Linked DNA regions of Arabidopsis thaliana. The protein of the gene in region 3 purifies or fractionates together with the protein of the main gene of each other region. This does not show direct contact. Each region holds a gene or a part of one and is shown on either strand. Other genes may lie near its edges.

Evidence for each region.
Region 1: the proteins of ATCHR12 (region 3) and LFR fractionate together in Arabidopsis thaliana (co-fractionation; one large-scale study listed by BioGRID). This does not show direct contact.
Region 2: the proteins of ATCHR12 (region 3) and HTA7 fractionate together in Arabidopsis thaliana (co-fractionation; one large-scale study listed by BioGRID). This does not show direct contact.
Region 4: the proteins of ATCHR12 (region 3) and AT3G01890 fractionate together in Arabidopsis thaliana (co-fractionation; one large-scale study listed by BioGRID). This does not show direct contact.

The regions. Positions count from the first base shown.
Region 1 is NC_003074.8:8,161,767-8,167,325, reverse strand, and holds LFR (ARM repeat superfamily protein), read right to left. Parts: upstream 3,386-5,559; 5' UTR 3,312-3,385; coding exon 3,119-3,311; intron 3,022-3,118; coding exon 2,852-3,021; intron 2,769-2,851; coding exon 2,635-2,768; intron 2,538-2,634; coding exon 2,281-2,537; intron 2,082-2,280; coding exon 1,976-2,081; intron 1,883-1,975; coding exon 1,744-1,882; intron 1,653-1,743; coding exon 1,525-1,652; intron 1,437-1,524; coding exon 1,181-1,436; 3' UTR 976-1,180; downstream 1-975. Other genes in the region: AT3G22980 (Ribosomal protein S5/Elongation factor G/III/V family protein), read left to right, coding at 4,010-5,559. UniProt on the Arabidopsis thaliana protein: Involved in leaf and flower development. Plays roles in leaf development partly by associating with AS2 and repressing KNAT1/BP transcription. Required for the formation of anther cell layers and normal expression of genes that regulates anther development.
Region 2 is NC_003076.8:9,791,203-9,795,451, forward strand, and holds HTA7 (histone H2A 7), read right to left. Parts: upstream 2,359-4,249; 5' UTR 2,164-2,358; coding exon 1,948-2,163; intron 1,842-1,947; coding exon 1,605-1,841; 3' UTR 1,307-1,604; downstream 1-1,306. Other genes in the region: DEG14 (Trypsin family protein with PDZ domain-containing protein), read right to left, coding at 132-259, 345-530, 635-742, 832-934, 1,019-1,033; RECQSIM (RECQ helicase SIM), read right to left, coding at 3,042-3,338, 3,448-3,540, 3,619-3,741, 3,894-3,981, 4,061-4,144, 4,229-4,249.
Region 3 is NC_003074.8:1,801,447-1,809,774, reverse strand, and holds ATCHR12 (SNF2/Brahma-type chromatin-remodeling protein CHR12), read left to right. Parts: upstream 1-2,244; 5' UTR 2,245-2,490; coding exon 2,491-2,706; intron 2,707-2,975; coding exon 2,976-3,129; intron 3,130-3,304; coding exon 3,305-3,369; intron 3,370-3,469; coding exon 3,470-3,658; intron 3,659-3,973; coding exon 3,974-4,123; intron 4,124-4,238; coding exon 4,239-4,634; intron 4,635-4,738; coding exon 4,739-4,998; intron 4,999-5,089; coding exon 5,090-5,308; intron 5,309-5,390; coding exon 5,391-5,598; intron 5,599-5,682; coding exon 5,683-5,836; intron 5,837-5,951; coding exon 5,952-6,557; intron 6,558-6,648; coding exon 6,649-7,340; 3' UTR 7,341-7,634; downstream 7,635-8,328. Other genes in the region: AT3G06000 (RNI-like superfamily protein), read right to left, coding at 7,694-8,328. UniProt on the Arabidopsis thaliana protein: Probable chromatin-remodeling factor that is functionally redundant with CHR23 in root and shoot stem cell initiation, and root apical meristem (RAM) and shoot apical meristem (SAM) maintenance.
Region 4 is NC_003074.8:307,793-313,019, reverse strand, and holds AT3G01890 (SWIB/MDM2 domain superfamily protein), read right to left. Parts: upstream 3,014-5,227; 5' UTR 2,689-3,013; coding exon 1,364-2,688; intron 1,300-1,363; coding exon 1,248-1,299; 3' UTR 947-1,247; downstream 1-946. Other genes in the region: CYP94B2 (cytochrome P450, family 94, subfamily B, polypeptide 2), read left to right, coding at 1-661; AT3G01880 (vacuolar sorting-associated protein (DUF946)), read right to left, coding at 3,460-5,227.

The DNA.
Region 1 (5,559 bases), 6.4 Mb from region 3:
GTAAAGTTGGGACTTGGGACCCTCTTCAAGTAGCACTACAATTAGAAAATTAGATTTGGTTTCTTCCCCAACCACCAAATGTTGTTTTCTTAATAGACATGTTAAATAAAATCTCCCTCCTTCAACTTTACTCATACTATATAATGAACATATATTATACAACAAGGTAAAAAAATCATTATATACAAGAAAGTTTCAATAATGCGCTCCAAGTTAAAGATATCTCAATAGCATAAAGAATTTGATCGATACAAAATATACCGCTTGAATATCCATCAAATTAGCAGAAACAAAAAGAAAGATTCAAAGCCATCTCTTATCACTTCTATCTATACATTCATCTTTAACCACTAACTAATTTTATATCACCAATCAAACCATTTTCCAAATATATTCTTCTTATTGTTCTGATATTTTTCTACCAAATGTTTAGTGTGTGAATCAGTTAACCACTATCTTGTATGAACATAAAGAAAGAAAGATTGCAATAACTTGATTTTAGAGTTTAGTTTTGAGATGAGTTGTCTCGAAATACAGGTATGTGTGTTTAAAGCAACGGTTATATATTCTTTCAACTCCATAATATACCAAAGAAGAAGGTTACTAAAATCTTCACGAAATTCAAGTTTAGCAAAATATATGTGGAATACGCAATTAACGTTTGTAGAAATGCTCTAGTTCGCGTTGTAGAAAGTTGTTGGTCACAATTTATGGGTTAATTAGGTGGTTAATGGTTATGGTTGTTCAAAATATAATTATGTTCTACTATACGAACCGAATCCAAATAAAAATGTATAACAAGAGAAAACGTCTCCTCGTCTACAAGAAAAGACACATTGATTTTGAAGAAAGAGTAATAATAACAAAAAATGTAAAGACAAAACACTGTATTATGTGTGACTTAATTCTTGTTAGTTTATTGTATAGTATATGAATATGATTAACCAATACACTATTCTAACGTCAAAACGTGATTATTTGGGTTATTTTATTTTCAATTTGAATCACAAAATATCTCAAATTTGTTTTTAGTAAAGATCAAACAAAACACATGTCGAAGCTATGCGAGAGAAGAATCCATCTACTTTTTGTTCAACAACACTGCTTTTTTAATACATAGCAAATGATTAAAGTTTACAACACAATCAATTAATCAAACCCACTAATCTAGAGAAGACTTTTACATGCCCCAGATTCCTCTAGCTGAAGCAACTCTGCTATTAGATCTAGCAGTGAGTTCATACAAAATCCTAGCAAATGAATCAGAATACTTACCCTCTTGAAAAAGCAGCTCAGCGAAAGCATTCTCATACGCGAGTAGCAATCCTCTGTTTTGAGGCTCCGAGACAAGGTTCTCAAGGATCATTGCAGCTTTCCTACATACTTCTGGAACCGGATGCGGAGTCTTTATCACTTTCAGCAACCTATCAACCGCCCTGAAAAAGATCATAATGGTGTGTCATTGTTGCGATCTAAAAACAGTTTGATTGTATTCGATAGAGAGGGAGTATAGTTTTTGTTTACCATCTCTCACTTGCTAGCTTTAATCTGCAATCCATGTTAACTTCCACGAGATTGTAGAGTGCTCCAACAGCTGCAGCTTGTGCATCAACGGCTTGTATGCTCAAAAGATCGATTAGTCGCTTGTGTATCTGCAAGGGATAGGTCCATTGTTGGGTTTAAATACTAGTTAAAACGAGTAAGTAGCCAGAAACCATATGAAGATTATAGAAGTTAACAAACCTGCGGAATTAAAGGACTAATGAAAGGTTCATTGTCCGGATTGATTATCAAACGCCCTAGCAACTCAGCAGCAGCACAATTCCAAGCTTTGACAGAAGAATTGAGGATTCCGACCACAGCTTGAACAGCTTTCTTTTCACTATATGCACAAGAGTAATGAATGATTCACATTGGTATTTGAAACAAGTTATGGATTGTGTAACTAAGAATGCAGGGAGATACAACTTCTCACTTTATGTTGATGTATGACTGCTTAAGCGAGCTGAAAATTCGAAGATCCATCAAATGCGCTAGGTTTACAATTGTCTCTAGCGAGTTTGTGACCAGCTCTTCATCCTCTGTTAACAAAAGATTGTCTTAAGACCATAGTTCCCAATCAAGTATCAAGCAAATAAGGAAACAGAGAGAATACATTCAAGCCAATTCAAACCAATAAGAAATAAGAATCTATCAGAAGCAAATGTAAGGAATTATAACTAGTAAAAGAAACAAAAAGGTTGGGATTGTATGTATCAAAACATTAGTATTCTTCCTTACCGGTCATATGATCGTGTATGCACTGGAAAACAGTTTCTAAGCAATGGCGATGCTGAGCCATTACAACTTCATTATCAGGCATGAAGGAGAAGTTGCGGATAACGTTCGATGCAGCAATAGCACACATTTGTTTCTCTGATCTCCCTTCATCGTCTAGATTAAACAAACCATCCTCTTCCATCCACCACTGAGATGACTGATGTTTACCAGTGCTCTTTTTTCCTAATGCCTCAGCAGCAGAAGAACCAATCCCGGATCTGCTAGGCCAAATATTAACAACACTTAGGTTCTAATTCTAAATATAAGCAACAATCATTTAAAACTGTAATCAAAGCAGTATCGAAATTAGCTCACCCAGGGGGTTGAATAGAGGCTAGAGCATCATACTCATTGCCAAATCCCGTAACTGAAGCATTTGTACCTAAAGTTCTAACTCTAGTTCCTCTTGTCAGGTCCTTTGGGAGAGCTATGTCACGCCAATCATCTATCTGCCAAAGTTTTAGCATCATGTTGGTTCAAAGAACAGAGAGGAAAACACAATCCCAACACCTAAACAATTAAATAAACTCACAATTAAGAGAAGGGCATCAAGCAAGCCAGCTATCTTAGCAAGAGGCATGACATCTCTTCGAATATCTTCTTTTTCCTTGAAGGAAAGCAACGTAAGTGTGTTCAATGCCCATGTCACCTCACTCTTCAAACCACTCTGCAACGCAAGAACTATTCTTCTATTGTTCTGCTCTATAAATTCCAATGATCCCAATGAAAATTACCGATTAAAAACTCGTTCACAAGAAGAAAACAGAGAGGAATTATAGAGTGGTCATTGCGAGCTTACCGACGAAGGAATTGTGAACTAGAAGAGAAGGACCAAGTAAAGCTGACGGTGACATCGCGTCCGCTGCTGCCGCCGCTGCAGCAGCAGCAGCTGAGTTAGCACTTGTACTACCGAAGGGACGGCCTCTCTTCGCTGGTGGACCCGAAGATCCACCGGAATTACCGCCGGATTTCCCAAGCTCCCGTTTCTGCATCTCTCTCTAATTTGGGGCTAAAGTTAGGGTTCGGAAATTTTGACCCGAAAGATTTATTCCGGTTTAAAAGTCCCAAGACGATTTAAAAATTAAAATTGTTTAAAGAGCACTAAACACTTTTTGTGAGTCAGAGGGTTTCGGTACAATTGAAATTAAAAACGTTTTAGACCGGTTTATTCCGGTTGAAGAGTCCGAGACTATAATTAAAATTGTTAAAAGAGAGCACTAAACCGTCTCTCTGGTTTACAGGGTTCCGGTTTAATTAAAATCAAAAACGTTCACGTCTTCTTGTATATGTTTATACAGACAAACTTGCAGAGGGAAATCGCCAAACCCTGCGCCGCCGTTGTTTCGCCGCCGAAGCAAGTTTCGCACCATTCTTCTTCAAACGTCTGAGCTCCATCAACTGATTAAGGTGATTTTTTTACATATCACTCAATTTTTGAATCGAACTTTTTAAAATATTATGGAATCTTCAAAGAGCATCTCTCTCGTTTTTATCTCTCTTTGATTCTTACGAGACGTGCACAACTCTGTGGATTCGATTCAAAAATTCGTGAGCTCTCACACAAGGTTTTAGGATTTGGATTATGTTTTGTTGAAGTTTTCTCTACTAATTTGAATCGCATCGATTCTGATAATGTAATCCTTGTATATATTGAATCTGCAGGTAGCTGTGTGTTTTGTAAATTGAAGAGATGGATGAATCTGAAGGTAGGAAAGTTAGGAACATATGTATACTAGCACATGTAGACCACGGTAAGACGACTCTCGCCGATCACCTAATTGCTTCTTCCGGTGGCGGTGTTCTTCACCCGAGACTTGCCGGGAAGCTTAGGTTCATGGACTATCTAGATGAAGAACAGAGACGTGCAATCACGATGAAGAGCTCTTCGATTTCTCTTAAATATAAAGACTATTCTTTGAACCTGATTGATTCTCCTGGTCATATGGATTTCTGTAGTGAAGTCTCAACAGCTGCTCGGTTAAGTGACGGTGCGTTGGTTTTGGTTGATGCTGTTGAGGGAGTTCATATTCAAACGCATGCTGTGTTGCGTCAAGCTTGGATAGAGAAGTTGACTCCTTGTTTGGTGCTTAATAAGATTGATAGGTTGATTTTTGAGTTGAGGTTGAGTCCTATGGAGGCGTATACTCGTTTGATTAGGATTGTTCATGAGGTTAACGGGATTGTGAGTGCGTATAAGTCAGAGAAGTATTTGTCGGATGTTGATTCTATACTTGCTAGTCCTTCAGGGGAGTTGTCTGCTGAGAGTCTTGAGTTGTTGGAGGATGATGAAGAAGTTACTTTTCAGCCTCAGAAAGGTAATGTAGTATTCGTGTGTGCTTTAGACGGGTGGGGTTTTGGGATTGCGGAGTTTGCTAATTTTTATGCCTCCAAGCTTGGAGCTAGTGCGACTGCGTTGCAGAAATCGTTATGGGGTCCTCGTTATTATATTCCTAAGACTAAGATGATAGTAGGGAAGAAGAATTTAAGTGCTGGAAGCAAGGCGAAACCAATGTTTGTGCAGTTTGTGCTTGAGCCTTTGTGGCAGGTTTATGAAGCTGCACTAGATCCTGGTGGGGATAAAGCCGTTCTTGAGAAAGTTATCAAATCTTTCAATTTGTCTATTCCACCACGCGAACTTCAGAACAAGGATCCAAAAAACGTGCTTCAATCGGTGATGAGCCGTTGGCTTCCTCTGTCTGATGCAGTCTTGTCTATGGCTGTGAAACATCTGCCAGACCCCATTGCAGCACAGGCATATAGAATCCCACGCTTGGTTCCAGAAAGGAAAATTATTGGTGGTGATGATGTTGATTCAAGTGTCCTGGCAGAAGCAGAGCTTGTTAGAAAATCAATCGAGGCTTGTGATTCTAGCAGTGACAGTCCTTGTGTTGTGTTTGTGTCGAAAATGTTTGCTATTCCAATGAAAATGATTCCTCAAGATGGAAATCACAGAGAGAGGATGAACGGTTTAAATGATGATGACAGTAAAAGCGAGTCAGATGAGTGCTTCCTTGCATTTGCTAGGATCTTTAGCGGGGTACTTCGGGCTGGGCAAAGAGTCTTTGTAATTACCGCCCTATATGATCCCCTCAAGGGGGAATCGTCTCACAAGTACATTCAGGAAGCAGAACTGCATTCCCTATATCTTATGATGGGGCAAGGTTTAACACCAGTAACAGAGGTGAAAGCCGGAAATGTAGTGGCCATAAGAGGGCTTGGACCATATATATCAAAAAGCGC
Region 2 (4,249 bases), on a different chromosome or scaffold from region 3:
AGATTCCATCAAAGATAAATCCGTAGAAGAAACCAATCTTATAATTAACCATATGTATTCCAAAGACAAAAGTTATTCCAAGATCCTTTGCAAGATTGTATGAGTAAACATATTTGATGTTTTAGTCATACCCTCCCTTTAGAAGAATGACGAATGTTCTGAAAATCAACTACAACATGAGCGCAAGTCAGTATCGTGCCATCAGCATCAATGATCGTTCCAGAACCGATACTTTTCCCCATAGATATCCCATGGAAACCTACAACATTCACAAGATCACCAAACCACCACTGTGAATTCTAAAGTGAAATCAAAAGAAAGATAAAAACAAGAAAGAAGCTAACCCTGAGGAACCGAAAGATTGACAACCGCTGGTCCAATTCTAGCAGCCGCATTGGCTATAGTATCTCTCCCTAAGTAGCCATTACTTGGTTTCGAACTACTATCCGAAGCTTCAACAGAAACTCCCTTCTCATCATTTATAGGTGCTTCTGATTTCGGACTAACTCTCGAAGAAAACACGAAATTTCCTATATCATATACACAGAAACAGACATTCCAAAGTTGCAACTTGCACCTCTAGAGTAAATTTGGCATTGATCATATTCAGATATCAGAAAATTTTGCTACGAACCGAATAAGCTTTGCTCAGGACGATGAATCAAACCCGGTGAAATCTGCCAAGGCAGTAACGACAAAGATTCTCGAACAGATTCAGGTATAGCAAGCGATACTCGAGTTCCTAGAATACATATCACATTAAACCACAACACCAAGAGAGACAAATACAACGCATAATGAAGAAGATGGTTCTTGGTAATAGTAACTTACTTGCATCTGGATTAGTACTAGCATATAAAATTCCAGAAGTAGCAGTAGCAACAGAAATGATGCGAATAAGCTCGCTTCTTTTAGAAGATGATACAGCTCTTCTCTAAACCCAGAAAAAAACAAATGAGTCAGTGAAATTTTAACCAAATTAAACAAGAAATTGAACAATCGCAGAGAAGAATCGAACCAGAAAATTCATCATCGCAAATCCAAGATTGAAACCAAACAATTTGATTCTACAAGAACGAAATTCGAAATCGCGTCTTGTTTAAATTCTAAACCCCACCGGAAAACCAAAACCCCTTTTCCAGAATCTCGTAGATGAACCAAGAACATAAATTCTAACGGGCCTATCAACTAAGCCCAAACAAAGCCCAATTTGAACAATCATTTTCTTAATTAATGTCATGTTTTTCGTGATTATTATCTACTTTAATTAATGTCATTAACTGTACTGAATCTTTCCATGTGTATACCAAAACCATTTCAATTAATCCACCTAAATTGTTTAAATCAACAAGTACGAAACCCAGAAATTAATTAGACAGATGAAGTTACTAATCCCAGAACTTAATTATTTTCCATTACAAATTGCGTTAACAAACATAATCATCTTCCCATGGTTTTTACATAAGACAAACCAAAACAAAGAGAAGAAGATTTCAGATACCTACACAAATCCTCTAAAACAAAAAACAAGTTGTTTCTTCTTCTTCTTCTTCTTCATCTAAGATCCGAATATAACCAAAAAGCAACATCGATACTATTCTTTATCAAGCCTTCTTAGGAGATTTGGTAGCAGAAGCTTTCTCCGCTTGAGAAGAAGAAGCTGTTGATTTCTTAGGAAGAAGAACTGGATTAATGTTTGGAAGAACACCACCACTAGCAATAGTAACTCCATGAAGCAATCTCCCCAATTCCTCATCGTTCCTTATCGCTAAACATAGATGCCTAGGGTTTATCCTGTTCTTCTTATTATCTCTCGCTGCGTTCCCAGCTAGCTCAAGTACCTAAACCAAACCGGTTCAATTCATTAGAACTTCAAAATTAAACAGATCTAATAGATACACAAAATAAATCGATTCAAAATGCAACGAGATCTGAGATTGAATATACCTCGGCGGCTAGGTATTCGAGAACGGCGGCGAGGTAAACCGGAGCACCGGAACCGTATCGGAGAGCGTACCGACCTTTCTTCAAGTAACGAGCGATACGACCAACGGGAAATTGAAGACCAGCTTTAACAGATTTACTAACACTCTTCTTCCTATCTCCACCTTTCCTTCCTCCTGCTCCTCTCGTTGGCTTCGTCGTTGCTTGTGATGACTCCATTGTTCAAAAGCTCCAAAAGAAAATACAAATGAATCTAAAGGGAAAGCACAATTAGTGTTTTTTTCGGTTTTGTGGCGGTTTACGATTTGCTTAAAATGAGGAAAGAACGACGTGTATGTATATACCACGTATTGCCACGTTGGCGATCCGTGTAGTAATTTATCTTAGCCGTTAAGATTGGATCTTGTTGGCTTTGATCTAACGGTCGTAATGACTTCTTTGTATGACATTACACGTGGGTGTTGTAAAAGGAAGGTGGAAAAGAACACTTGAGTGATATCAGCCGTTAGATTCATTCCCCACACGTTCTACAAGATAATCAGCTTTATGTCTTTTTCTTATCTTATTTTGACAGCAGATTATTACTATTATTTAAAATATCCAGAGAATTAGAGTAGAAAATTAGCGGATAATTCGGAAAATTAAGGAAACAAAAATTATTACCCAAACTCTGGTTTTAATTAGTGTAATAAGTACAAAAAATGTGATTAAGAAAGAGAGTTTAAGATATTCAACTGTAATCTTCTAAGCTCCATGACAAATGAAGAAGCATCATTAATGGCTGCACGAGATGAAACCAAAGCTTCATGGAGCTCGGTGTTAACGAGATAATAAGAACATATCTCTTTGAGAATCACATCATGACGTTCTTGAAGCCTTGTTACGTTCTCTTCCGCCGTTACCAAAGCCTCGTTTACAAGCCTCAGCTTCTCGATGGCGCGGTATCTATGCCTCAAGATGGGACTCAGAGCAAAGAAGGAGCCTGATATAGCAATTGTAGAAAGAAGTATTATGCTTCCATAAAGATCCATGAATGGAATAATGGGTTTGGTAAAAGAATATAAAGTGGATTCATTACTTAAAGAGGGTTGAGATTCTTATTCTTTGCTTCTCCATGGATGTAACTTCGTCGAAGAACGTCCTCGTGTTCGTTTTTTTCGGGGTTTCCTTTCTCTTCGAGGCTTTCTTTCTCTTCTCTCTAACCGCTGGCGCCGGATCTCTGGATCTGCCCATCCTTTTCCCCATTCAGAGAATCCACTGTATGTTCTATCTTGTTTCAACGAAAGTAGCATGTCGGCTTCTGGATAAACATAGAGTGGTTTGTCATCTTGGAAATCTAGTTGTTTCTTCCCTTTTTCTGTTGGTTGTATGAATTTAATCTCAACTCGACGATCCTGCAACACAGATCAGTAACATGGTTTTAACCGAATATGTGATCGTAGCTTTACGCCTTTACCGATAAATGGATCATAAGAAAGGTTGGTTTTTTGGTTACTAGTGTACCTTGTTATCCATCTCTTTGATGTATCCTTCGGCTTCCATGATACGGGCAAGACCTTTCCACCAAAGACAATCTGTTTCCTTGAATTTTTCACACTACACTAACCAAAGGCATCACATTAATATCATCAAGAACATAATGCACTATGTAATTTGTTGAAACAGAAGATTTACCTGTTCCCTGAGTTTACTGATGAAGAACAGAAGATTTGGCTTGTGGGATAATTTATTTTGTTTGCTGTTGCCGAGTCCATAATCTTCATATGGTGCATGCTCAGAGTCATTGTCTACCTGCAACTAATATACTAGCGGCTTAAGTTTCAGAAAGAAAGGTTATACAGTAGTAGACGAAATCTCAAATACTAAATAGAAATATGTTTGATTGTATATCACTCATACGAAACAAGCAAACTTTTAAATGAAGTTCTGGGATTAATCAAATGGCTTACATGAAAAGCAGTGATTACTTGAAACAAAAGATTAGCTTCCTCTCGTACATCTACTAGCTCCGGAGGCCCTTCAGTGCAAACATCACATCTGTTTCATAGATTGGAAAGGTTTTACAACTATTTGGTAGTTTGACTTGATGGGTTTTAGATAAAAGGATAGGACTTACGAGTTACACTTTTTGGAACTAAATTCCTCCCCAAAGTACTCCACAAGTATTTTGGCCCGACATTGTGAAGTGTTCATTCCATATCTGCATAAGAAAGGAGAATGAATATAAAAGAATATAGAACGATAAGTGAATATGCACTCCCACGTATCTGACTAGTATAGAGACCTGAAACAGTCAGATAGCATC
Region 3 (8,328 bases):
TTTTCTTATGAAAGTTTTTTTTTATGTAATAGATTGTTCCCTATTGTCCATACTTTATCATGACGACACACCCTACAACCATACGCATTTTTATTTTCCAATCTCTACTTTCCCATATGAAGAAATCAAGAATGAGATAAATCATATAGTTGACACACTATTGGAACGAATATAAAAATGAAATTAAAATAGAGGATCTATATATAACGTAAGCATGTAAAAAGTTATGACATAATTTAATTGAGAAAAAGGTCGAAAAAGGAGCTGACCTGCAGACGTAATCTGTCGACAAATATCAATCTATATATATTGAGTCTTTGATCACCACATGTGGTCCTAAATTTCGAACCAACGCATAGAAATGAATTAGAAAGTATAGCATATAGCAACCTTTGGCCGCTCCAAACGATCATGCTTTACTTTTTTGATTGTGTCCTATTACCTAAAGATGCTTTTACTATATAATTGAGTTTTACAATTATTAAGTGAATACCGACAAGCGACACAAGCAAATTAAAGTATAAGAATTTTATATGAGAAACTAATTTGACTTTTGTTGTACGTAGCACACAAGACCATGATGCACCAAGAAAAAGAAAAAAAAAACAGAGTGAAACTTGAATCGTTATCCATCAATATTAGTTATTTGTTTCAACTAATGGAGGATCTAAAGGCACATAATACGTCATACCACTTGAAATTTAGTGGAGACTGAAAACTTAAGCATTACGTTTTGATGTTTGTACCAAACTACCAATAGTGTTGTTATAAAATGAGAGTATGCATCTTTAATGTAGATGTGTTGGCATATTTGAAAGCGTTTTTTCAACACTTTCCAGAGATCCAATTTCATTCGGATTCTATGATTCTTGATTTCGTCCGATTACTTATTCGAAAAGAATTTTGTGAAACAAATGTATCGTAAAATTTAATCCCAAAATTTGTTGAATGCTATATGGAATCTAAAACACATGATGTGAAACCAAAGTGTACATCTCATGGCTCAAAATGGTTTGCATAAGCAAAAATCATCTTTTTGACTAAGTTAGTGGAGCCTTTATGAGCCACTCCTTAAACTTTTAAATCGAGCTTATATATTATAAGCAATGCTTACACATGTTAAGGAACCATTGGTTAACATAGTTCAAAAAATTTACTAGACAAAGAATAAAAATAAAGAATTTTATGTATTGGCCACATAGAGTTATTGTTTGTCTCCCATTGCTTTTGTTGACGCATGACATCCACATGAAAATATCATTCTCATCCAAAACTGTTGTCTCACTCACATATCATCCAAGCAAACTATAACTTTCACAAAGGAGATGTCAATTTACATGAAAAAGGCTTTTATTTAAGGTGAAGTGCGGATAAGAATAGTGATTCAAACGAACAAACACAGTCATGGATCGATCTATTCCATTACTAGAACAAGGATCTTTAATTATAACCCATTCAATCTAAAGTTATTATTAGCCAACACAGTAGTCAAAAAATAGGGAAGATAAAGCAACATTCAGTTTCCTATACACACAAAATTTTACTAGATAACAAGAGTCGATCGACAATAACATGGACAAACGTACATCTACAAGTGGGACAATGAACGATTTGAATCATACGTACATATACACCCATTGTAATTCACGACTGAAAGAAATGGGACAAAGAATCTCTAGGCAACACTATCTCCCAACAGCAAACAAATTACTATTTCCGAGAAGAACAAAAAATGTGACTCACACTCACTTAAGGTTTTGAAATTACAAGATTTTAGAAATTGGAATGGACATGTATATGTATTGTCGGTGTGTTGTCTTATAACCTCTTAATGGGAATCGGATTCAAAACAAACCCTCTCATTCCACGTTTGTCAAGCACGTGCTTCTTCAAGAATTTGAAATTTTGGTTTAACGGTACACTCGATTTGATCAGAACGAGACAATTAATTACAATTAAATACAAATTTAGTTACTGTCGGTAGTTTTTTTTTTCCGAATGCTTCCTGTCGCATATATTGTTTTGGTTCTATGAACTCTTATTAGCATATACCAGAATCTGTTGAACCATACAAATTTACTATATTTTCTCGGTGACTCTCTATATAGCAGCAAACCATTAGCGAGACTAGATTATGAACCTTCTAAACATTAACTAAAATACTCAGTTTCAAGCCCAATCAATATCAATATATAGCCCGCAGATGCCGATCAAATGGGCCTGTCCAACGGCCCATTAATAAAACGGGGGTTAAAAATGTAAATACAAGAAGATAGATGTTTGGTGAGTCCTAAAAATCGTAAACCAGATTTCCAAATTTCTCTCCGTCTCATCTTTGTCTCGGTCTCTCTCTCGAGTGTGTGTGTGTCTAAAGGCAAAGAGAGAGATTTGAGAAAACTGAATTACAAAAAAAAAAAAAAAAGACAACGAAAAAAAAGACATCAAATTTGCGAAAGTTGAAATCGAAAACGGTGAATACAAGTTCCCGCCATGGTGGCTCAGCAGCTCCAAGAGAGATGCGGCGGCACTTCTCAAGAAGATCCAGTTGAGACCACCAAGTCTCTGATCTGTGCTCTCAATTACATTTCTCGTGACCTTCCTTTGCCTCCTCACCTCTTCACCGCCGTTTCTTCAATCTACCATGGCGCTTCTTCTTCTTCTCTCTCTGACTCCGATGTCTCTCCGCCGCTACCTACTTCGCCGCCTGTAATTCACTCTCGAGCCCTTCTCCAGCCTCACCCTAGATTTTGATGTTTGCCCCTTTTTGTGTTTTGTGCTTTGTTTGGGAGGTTTTGAATCGATTTATGTGGTCCTGTGATTTGTTTTTGTAGCTTTGCTTTCGAGTTTATGTTCAAAGTTTTCTCCTTTTTCGAGTTTCTATGGAAATTAGATATCTTCAGTGGCTTGTTTTGTCGAATTACAGTCTAAAGGTTTTTGCTTTAATCTGTGGTTTGGTCTCTTTGTTGTTTTTGCAGGCGAATAAAGCTCCCTATGGAGCTGATTTGATGGGTGAATTCGAGGATGCACTTTTGAAGCAGAGACCAGATTGTGAATCAGGCTCTCGATTGATACAATTACTGGATAATCGGAATAAGAGTCATATCCAACGCCGCTTATCTGAACTTGAAGGTTATTATCGTGTTTATTACTCCTAAGTTGCACTTCAATCCATTCTCAAGTTTTGATTTTGTTATGCTTGGCAACAGTTTTTTTGTTACTGGAGAACTATTGTCAATTATGTTACTAAAACCCTTTATTCTTCAAGGGGGATGCTTTGTGCTTACTCTTTGTGTTTTTGAATCAGAATTACCTTCTACTAGAGGTGAAGATTTGCAGGCAAAGTGCTTACTTGAGCTTTATGGGCTTAAGGTATCATCGTTGCTAGATGTTCTCATTGATCGTTGTTGTTATGTTACATTGTTTGAATTGTTATATCTTTGACATTGACACTTTACCTGGTGAGTTACAGCTACGGGAATTGCAAGGCAAGGTTCGAACCGCGGTGAGCTCGGAATTCTGGCTACGTCTGAACTGTGCAGATGTCAGTAGCCAAGTATTTGACTGGGGCATGATGCGGTTGCCTCGTCCATTTTATGGGGTTGGAGATCCTTTTGCTATGGAAGCTGATGATCAGTTCAGAAAGAAGCGTGACGCTGAGGTGATTTACCTTTTATTCAGCTAGCATATTCTGGTGCAACTTTTTTAGTTCCTGGATTTTATTTTAACCTATGATAATGAAGTTTCCTGATGAGATAAGGCCCCTTTTGAACTATGGCTCATATATCTTAGCAGTACAACTAGACATGTGTATAAATATATCACTAGATTCTGCTTTGTTGGAACTCATTTAGATGGATTTAATAGAATTGAAATGAAAAGTGTACACAATTTCTAGTTGTTATGACATGATTTTATTTTATAGCTTTCAATCTTCGTGATTGGCATTGCTGATGTGTTAAAAGTCTTTGTTCAGAGGTTATCACGTTTAGAAGAAGAGGAGAAGAATCTGATTGAAACTGCCAAGAGGAAATTCTTTGCAGAAGTACTCAATGCAGTACGTGAATTCCAGTTGCAAATTCAGGCGACTCAAAAACGCCGTAGGCAAAGGAATGATGGTGTGCAGGTATGATAGAGTTTACTTACGCGGTTATTGTGATAGTAGTTCCAGTTATCTTTTAATATTACCAATCAATATACAAACATCTAAAATTTATTTTGTGTGTACATTATTCGAACAGGCTTGGCATGGGAGACAAAGACAACGCGCTACCCGTGCTGAAAAGTTGAGGCTCATGGCCCTTAAGTCCGATGATCAAGAGGCATACATGAAACTAGTAAAGGAGAGTAAAAATGAAAGACTAACCACTCTTTTAGAGGAGACAAACAAACTCCTTGCTAATTTGGGAGCTGCTGTTCAACGTCAGAAAGATGCTAAACTTCCGGAAGGCATTGATCTACTTAAAGACTCAGAATCTGACTTGTCTGAACTTGATGCTCCAAGAAGTGAACCATTGCAGGATCTGCTTCCTGATCAGGATATAGATATTACTGAGTCTGACAATAACGATGACTCTAATGATTTACTAGAAGGACAGAGGCAGTATAACTCGGCTATCCATTCAATACAAGAGAAGGTAACGTTGATCTCTATATACTTAGTAGCTGTATGGTGAACTGTTTAAACCACTGCCATCTCAGAGACCAGGGAATTTAAAATAGCAATATATACTTTTAACAGGTGACGGAGCAGCCCTCGCTTCTAGAAGGTGGGGAACTACGATCCTATCAATTAGAAGGGCTTCAATGGATGGTTTCTCTATTCAACAATAACCTCAATGGAATATTAGCTGATGAGATGGGTTTGGGAAAAACTATTCAAACAATTTCTCTGATTGCGTATCTTCTGGAGAATAAAGGTGTGCCTGGGCCTTATCTTATAGTTGCTCCAAAAGCTGTGCTACCAAATTGGGTAAACGAGTTTGCAACATGGGTACCAAGGTATGTTGCAAACAATATTTCTCTTGGTACTGAGAAATTGCACTGGTATGAATGTTATGTCTGAAAATCAGCCTTTTTGTTTTTTTGACAGCATTGCAGCTTTTCTGTATGATGGACGTTTAGAGGAAAGGAAAGCAATAAGGGAAAAAATTGCAGGAGAAGGAAAATTTAATGTGTTGATAACCCATTATGATCTTATCATGAGAGATAAAGCATTTTTAAAGAAAATTGAGTGGTACTACATGATTGTTGATGAAGGACATCGGCTGAAGAACCACGAATCTGCTCTAGCAAAGACTTTATTAACAGGGTACATCTCTATATTCATCTGTCTGAAGTGAATGATGTTGGCTAACTATTATGTTTCTAACAAAAATTTATCCGGGATGCAGCTATCGTATAAAACGCAGACTTCTGTTGACCGGGACACCCATACAGAATAGCCTTCAAGAACTATGGTCATTGCTTAATTTTCTCCTTCCTCACATCTTTAACTCGGTTCAGAACTTCGAGGAATGGTTTAATGCTCCTTTCGCTGACCGTGGTAATGTCAGTCTCACGGATGAAGAGGAGCTCTTGATTATTCACCGCCTGCATCATGTGGGTTCTCTAGCTGTCTTTCCTTAAATTTCTTATCAAAATTTGTATGCACTGTTTTAATGTAATTCACTCTGTCACTTTCAGGTTATAAGGCCGTTTATACTGAGAAGGAAAAAGGACGAAGTAGAGAAATTCCTTCCTGGAAAGACACAGGTCATATTGAAGTGTGATATGTCGGCGTGGCAGAAAGTGTATTACAAACAAGTTACAGACATGGGCAGGGTTGGCCTTCAAACAGGTTTGTAGCTTAACTCACGTATACTCTCTCCCTAATGTTGCACTCATCTTTGAGGTAAGAGAAAATGAATCAGAAAGAGGAGCTGATTTTATGCAAACGTAATCACCATGTGCAGGATCTGGGAAATCAAAGAGTCTGCAAAATCTAACGATGCAATTAAGAAAGTGTTGTAACCATCCTTATCTATTTGTTGGAGGAGACTACAATATGTGGAAGAAACCTGAGATTGTGAGAGCTTCAGGGAAATTTGAACTCCTTGATCGTCTCCTTCCAAAACTGCGCAAGGCTGGACATAGGATTCTTCTCTTCTCCCAAATGACCCGTCTCATTGACGTTCTTGAGATATACTTGACACTTAATGATTACAAATACCTTAGACTCGATGGTACCACAAAGACAGATCAAAGAGGGCTTTTACTGAAGCAATTCAACGAGCCAGATTCTCCCTACTTTATGTTTCTTTTGAGCACGCGTGCTGGAGGTCTCGGTTTGAACTTGCAAACTGCAGACACTGTTATTATCTTTGACAGTGATTGGAACCCACAAATGGACCAACAGGCCGAGGATCGAGCTCATCGCATAGGGCAGAAGAAGGAAGTCAGAGTGTTTGTTTTGGTTAGCGTTGGCTCTGTTGAAGAAGTAATATTGGAGCGTGCAAAGCAAAAGATGGGCATTGACGCCAAAGTCATACAAGCTGGACTTTTCAACACAACTTCCACTGGTATGTCTGTCCGAAAGAACAATATGAGGGCTTCTGCTTTCTATATCGATATGGTAATCTCTTGATGTGGTTTTTGTGATTATATCAACAGCACAAGACAGAAGAGAGATGCTTGAAGAGATTATGCGTAAAGGAACAAGCTCGCTCGGGACAGATGTCCCCAGTGAGAGAGAAATAAACCGGCTAGCGGCTCGTAGTGAGGATGAATTTTGGATGTTTGAGCGAATGGATGAGGAGAGACGAAGGAAGGAGAATTACAGAGCCCGTCTGATGCAAGAGCAAGAAGTCCCTGAGTGGGCGTACACTACTCAGACCCAAGAGGAGAAGTTGAACAACGGAAAGTTCCATTTTGGTAGTGTCACAGGTAAGCGAAAACGTAAAGAGATTGTTTACAGCGACACACTAAGCGAGTTACAGTGGCTGAAAGCCGTGGAGAGCGGTGAAGACCTGTCAAAACTCTCAATGAGATATAATAGGAGAGAGGAGAACGCAAGCAACACAAAGACATCAACGAGCAAAAAAGTGATAGAATCTATCCAAACTGTGAGTGATGGGACGAGCGAGGAGGATGAAGAAGAGCAAGAAGAAGAAAGAGCGAAGGAGATGAGTGGAAAACAGAGAGTGGACAAGTCTGAAGAGGAAGAAGAAGAAGGTGAAGAAGAGAATGATGGAAAGGCAATATTCAAGTGGAATACTCATAAGAAGAAAAGGTCTAGATACTCTTTTACGTGTTCTTCGTCTGACTCTAGAGCTCAAAGTTCCAATGGAAGTAGACGAAAATGAAGAAGGTGAGGTGAGATCTGAGTTTGACTTTGGTCTCTTCTTCTACGTGTTTGTGTGTCTTCTTGCCAATGTAACTTATCCCAATCTAACATGTAATAGTAATACATGTATTTTAATTGGTCTCTGGTTAAGTTTAGCTTTTTGTTGTTGTTTTAAGGTACTACTACCAATGTATATGTTTCTTATGTAGAATGATTTATTCGGGATTGAAAAACCCTTTTCACCTAAAAGAAAACATACAGCATGTAATAATTTGTTCAGAAGATCTAAGAGACCAATTCATTTTTTGAGCTACTCTAAATGTGCCCTTGCCAAAATAGCATCCAAACCACTGTCTATGAGTACAATACAAACTAATAAAAGATAAATACACTCACAAATTCATCTTCATCATTCTCTCTTAAATCATCATCATCATCCACATTATATACGTTCTTATCCAAAGGTCCAAGTAACTTTGGACAATTCGTGAATATCACTTTGATTTCCTCAATGCCTTTAAGAGAGATCATATTTCCATCAATGTTCAACATCTTGAAACTTCCTTTCTTGACAACAACACGAGCCAAGCGCAATGCTCCTTCTCTTCTCAAGTCATTGTAGCTCATATCAACATATTCTAACTCCCAATCTTCCATACTCTTTACAATCTCAACACATCCCTCATCTTTTAGATCATTTTCAGACAAATTCAACTTTTTCAGATGTCTCTTTGCTGCCAAACAAACTGCGATAGCTGTAGCCGCCTCATAAGTTATGTTATTTCCAGCCATTTCTATAACTTGAAGAGATGGAGCGGAGTTCTTGAGAGCGTTTACTAAAGCTATAGCACCTCCATTCTCTAGATTTGTATAACTTAGATTAATTACAGTCAAGAAACTGAAGCTTGAAAATGGTTTGCTCATAGAAACTCCAACTTTTATATGAGTACAAGTCTCGAATGCAGTCTCCTCTATAGTATCCTCATTGGTTAAGCTAGTGTCCACCA
Region 4 (5,227 bases), 1.5 Mb from region 3:
CGACGAGACGGTGAGAGATATGGTAATAAGTATCATAATGGCGGGGAGGGACACCACGTCGGCGGTAGCCACACGGCTGTTTTGGTTGATCACCGGTCACGAGGAAACCGAGCACGATCTGGTTAGTGAAATCCGATCGGTCAAGGAGGAGATAACGGGGGGTTTTGATTACGAATCATTGAAGAAACTGAGTTTGTTGAAAGCGTGTTTGTGTGAAGTGATGCGATTGTATCCTCCGGTGCCGTGGGACTCCAAACACGCCTTAACCGATGACCGGTTACCAGACGGTACGTTGGTGCGTGCCGGAGACCGGGTAACGTATTTTCCATATGGTATGGGGAGAATGGAAGAGCTATGGGGGGAAGATTGGGATGAGTTTAAACCAAACCGGTGGGCTGAGTCTTATGATAAAACCTGCTGCAGAGTTTTGAAAAAGGTGAATCCGTTCAAGTTTCCGGTTTTCCAAGCCGGCCCAAGGGTTTGTCTTGGGGAAGAGATGGCGTACGTGCAGATGAAGTATATTGTGGCTTCCATACTTGACCGGTTTGAGATTGAACCGATCCCTACGGATAAACCGGATTTTGTGCCAATGCTCACGGCTCACATGGCTGGTGGGATGCAAGTCCGCGTTCATCGGAGAGATCCTTCTCTTTCCCCTTGAATATACAAACAAAGTCAATTATCATGGCTTTTTATTTTATGTAAAACGTCTCTATGATCATTCATACCCAAAATTATTTTCTCCTTTGGGTAAACAACTCAACTTTTTTTTTTTTTTTTTCAATCCAAGTCATAAAGTCTCTACTAAATTTTTGAGTTTTGAAGAAAATTCAACCAATATTAGCTCAGTTATTATATTTTTGTTTGAAAATGACCCATTTTGCATTTGTTATCATCTTGGGATGATGACTATATTAAAAGTTCAACGTGAGAGCACAATGCCTTGGTCTTTTTCTATCCATAATAATACGTACGTTATTATTATTCTACAAGACTAGATCGAGCCAATTGGAAGTCAGTACGTGGAATCTACAAAAGAAAGTGAAAAAGTCAAGTATTTATCTTTCTTATATTTTGTCGCATATGATGCACGAGCTACAAACCAAAGTAAAAACTCTTGAAACTTGAGTAACAATGTTTCACTTAGAAAAAAAACCTATAAGGAACGACACTGATCAAGTGTCCTGGACCTAAGTGACTTCTAGGTAAAAGTAGTGAACTCATGAACTTCTTGGCCCATCTGCATCTTACCCGCCTGCTGGCTTCCGGTTCAAGTAACGTATTGCAGCATCCTCCACCCTGCAAGAGAATTCTCAGTGATTGTAAGACAAGTGATGAAAAGCAGAACAGTAGAGATTATTACCATGGCTGATTGAAGAACTCTGATCGGCCTTCTTTCTCAGCGTTTCGACTTGCTTCTCCTGCAACAAGCTTCAGATCTTTGGTCTGAGATTCCATCAAGGCATTGGTGAATTCCACCGGTGACTGGCTAAACCCTAAGAAAAACGCCCGTCTCCTTCTGTGCTCGTGGATTTTCCTTATGGCTCCGCATATGGCTTCATCACATGCCTCAATCTCTTTGTTCTTCTCTGGATTAGCGAGCAGATTGGAAAGCTCCGTTTGGACCGGTGCTGGTATGTCCACAAGCACATCGTAACATGCTGAGATGGCTGGATTGTTCCCCGAAAGCTTGATCTTGTGTACAAGCTGAATGGGAGGCGGAGGTGATAGGTGCTGAGATATCTTATGAGAGAGCATAGTGAATTTCATCTTCTCTTCCCCAAAAACACTGTGGAGAGCAGCATCACAGTTGAAGAAAGAAGGGTCGTTTGGGTTTTGCAGTTTCCTGACTTTCACGTAATGCCAGATTGCCGCAATGATTCTTGGGCGAGTGTCAACCTCAATGCCCAAAACTTGCATCAAAGCAGGAGAAGTCTTGAACTTCTCAGGGACGTAATTCATCTCCAACAGTATAGTAGCTGCAAACTCCTGACACCCTATCCTCTTTATCTCAAACCCTTCCAGAGGAGCAGGCGATCGATCCCTTTTCCATTCGATCAGATGGTTCTCAGGATACAGGCTCTGGTCCAGGGATATCTTTAACGTTTTGAAGAAAGACGAGAACTTGGGATAAAGTGGGTTTGAATTCTGAACTAATCCACCAGTGTGGTCAGGATCCAGGACCCTGCCGAAAATCCTAAGAGTCCATGTGGGAGGGTCAGGACCAGGGATCTGGTTGGAAAAGGTGTTGAAAACGTAGATCCTAAGGGTCTTCTGAATGGAAGGAGGGTTCTTAAGGGAGTCTTGGATGTCAACTTTCTTTCTGAAGAGAGCGGCATCAACCCGAGACTCAAACTCAAGAAGCTGTGTGTAGAGAGCAGACTCGGGCAAGACGGCAGCAACGCGCTCCTGCAAGGAGGACTTGTCTGGAAGCTTATGTTTCTTTTTCCTGGAAGCTGGAGTCAACTCCATACTAGGAGGAACAGCAGGAGGTCCTCCAATGGGAGGTTTATGTGGGAACCTTCTTCCAGGAGCACTAATCCCTTGGTCTTGAGAGAGCTGAAACTGAGGTTGAAAGTTAGGAGGGGCCATGTGGGAGGGAGCAAACGATGCAGAGGCCATTCCAAATGGCCAAGGCAGAGAGCTTTGAGGCCCTTTTAGTGCGTTCAACTCGTTATTCCCAGACATTGCTGATCACAAAAAATTGAATACAATCCCAAATTGGTGTCGACAGTAGTTACTCAGTAATTTTGGCTAGAAGAACCTCATCAAAATCACAACACACACACTCTATCGAATTTTGCCCTTTCTAAGCCGAACGTAACCCTAATTTAGTGCTGCGCGAGGATAGAGCCCTAATCAATTTCCCCCCAAATCTAAATAGTAAGATATAGGACACAACTTCTTCTTCTTCAATACAGCAGAAAGCGTATAATCTCAACTCCAGGAGAAAGAAAACAAATTCAATTCCCTCTGGAAGAAGAAGATGAAGATGATTCTTCTTCGAAAAAAAAAAAAAAAAAAAGACACGGCGGACCTATCAATGCCCACCTGAATTCTTCAACCGGGTCAAAACCCAACCATTAGTTAAAGGCCCAACGGCCATGGTTCGTGGGTCCATATTTAGATGGATCAATATTGCTTCTCGGCAATAAATCTAATTCCATGACTATAGGTAAAAAATCAAATTAAATCTAATCCAAATTATTTTTAAAAAAACTCTTAATAATCTACACCAATTTATTTCCAGATAAATACTATTTTTTAACTCTAAAACTAAGATCATGACAACCTTTTTTTTTCCCAAATAACTCTAAAATTTTTAATTAGCACATCTACATCTTAATTCTTAACAGATTCTATAGTATTATTGTTACTAATTAGAAATTACAATGATTATTTTCGACAAATGTAAACCTTATTGATATATAACATAATGCAATAATTCACAATAAAACACTAAGAATATTGTTCATCACCGGTCCAAGTCACCTTAACTTTGGGACCAGTTGGACCATCTTGACCCCGCATTTCTAAAGGAATTTTGTTGATGAGTTTTCGCAAACCTTTCCGTAAAAAGATGGGCAAAATCTTTGCGACAGAGTTGAGAAATATGTCAATCCTGTAATGGACTCGAGGTCCCCATTTCCTAAAATAATTCAGCCACGGTGGCTCAACCACGCCAGGTCCCGCAATCACTTCATATCCAATACCTGCGTCAAAGCATTTGTCGCTTCTTGCCATGTCGTTCCTTATTCCACTTTTGCCGCCACCTTGCAACACGACTCCAGGTTTGGAGAACATTGCATGCCCATGAAGAGACGAATATACTACTGGTTTGTTTCCACCTTGCATGAACTCTAGATCGCATGCATCCACTAAAGTTCCTCCACTGTGTTCAGAAAAGTAAACACGCCATAACTCACCATTGAAGTTGCTGATGCGTAATGTAACGTGTTCCCAGTCTCCAACATGCTCGCCAATATTTCCTAGCGACAGGCTCTTGATAAACAAAAATTTTAAATGTGCATTTCCGTTATAGGGAAAGAATAGCCATACTACAATATCTGTGAAAGTAGCTCCAAACATTGGTTTGATGTGTAGATACACCTTAGTGCTCTCTAAATCTCCCCTCTTAACCTTTTCTCTAGCCTTTTTATCGACTAGATAATCTAACCAAAACAAGTCATCATTGCAACCTCCTTGTGGAAGGTTTGAACCATTTGGATGTATCGGGACCGGGATGGATTCGTTTCCTTTCTTGTGTAGCAAGGCACCGTTAGCGAAAACCCAATTGACAGAGGAAGGAAGGAAATCTTCTTTTGGGTGTAAATATATCCAAGGAGAATACGTTTTAAACAAAACTCTAGTTTGATTTTCGCTTGGCATGCTTGACAAGTCAAATTTTGTATTTTTTAAGCAGAATAAAGGAGGGGGATGAGGAAGAAAGTTTAGTTGTTTGCAGCTGAATGTCCCTGTGAACACACCTGTCGCCTCTACTCCTCTCGTGGCCGGTCTCAAACTAGAAATAGTCATATCTTTTATCCTCCATACCCATGTATCGGCTTCACTCTGTTCTGTGAGATCAGATCGAACACAGCTTATAGAATTTTGTCCCAAAGAGGGCTTCATAGGAGAAGTAGTGACATATAGACCAACCGCATGATATCCATTAGGACATAGGGGCTGCCAAAAATATGCAGGCCCCTCTTGTTTGATAAGCAATGTTGTAGTGTTTCCAACTTCAGTGTAGTCGACTGGTGGTCTTAAATTACTTCCCGATACGTCTTTTGCAACAAGAATCCAACCAAAAAGCTGTCGGTTGTTAGGTTGTGCATAGAAGCCAAGTTTGAAGAAATTACGAGGAATAGTAGTTGGTTCAAAGATGCTGACTCCCATGTTATCCGGCCCTCCTTCATAAGTTCTCCACACTCTGTGTGATGTTGAGTTTGAGATAGAGATTTGAGTAACCTCAAGACCTCCCATATCAATGCTTCTTTTGCCAAAATTTCCACCATCGGAAGGCATACTAGGCAAAGGACTAGGAAATTTAAAGCTTGTTTCCACCGGTAAACCATTAGACGAAAGATAAGGATATTTGAATGGATACCCTAAAGAATTTACGTAGGAAATGTTGGTCAAAGGGTTAGTTCCAGTTTCTGCCCATGACAATTGCTTAACAAATAGAAAAACAAAAAACAATAGAAATTTTAAGTAGGTTTCATAC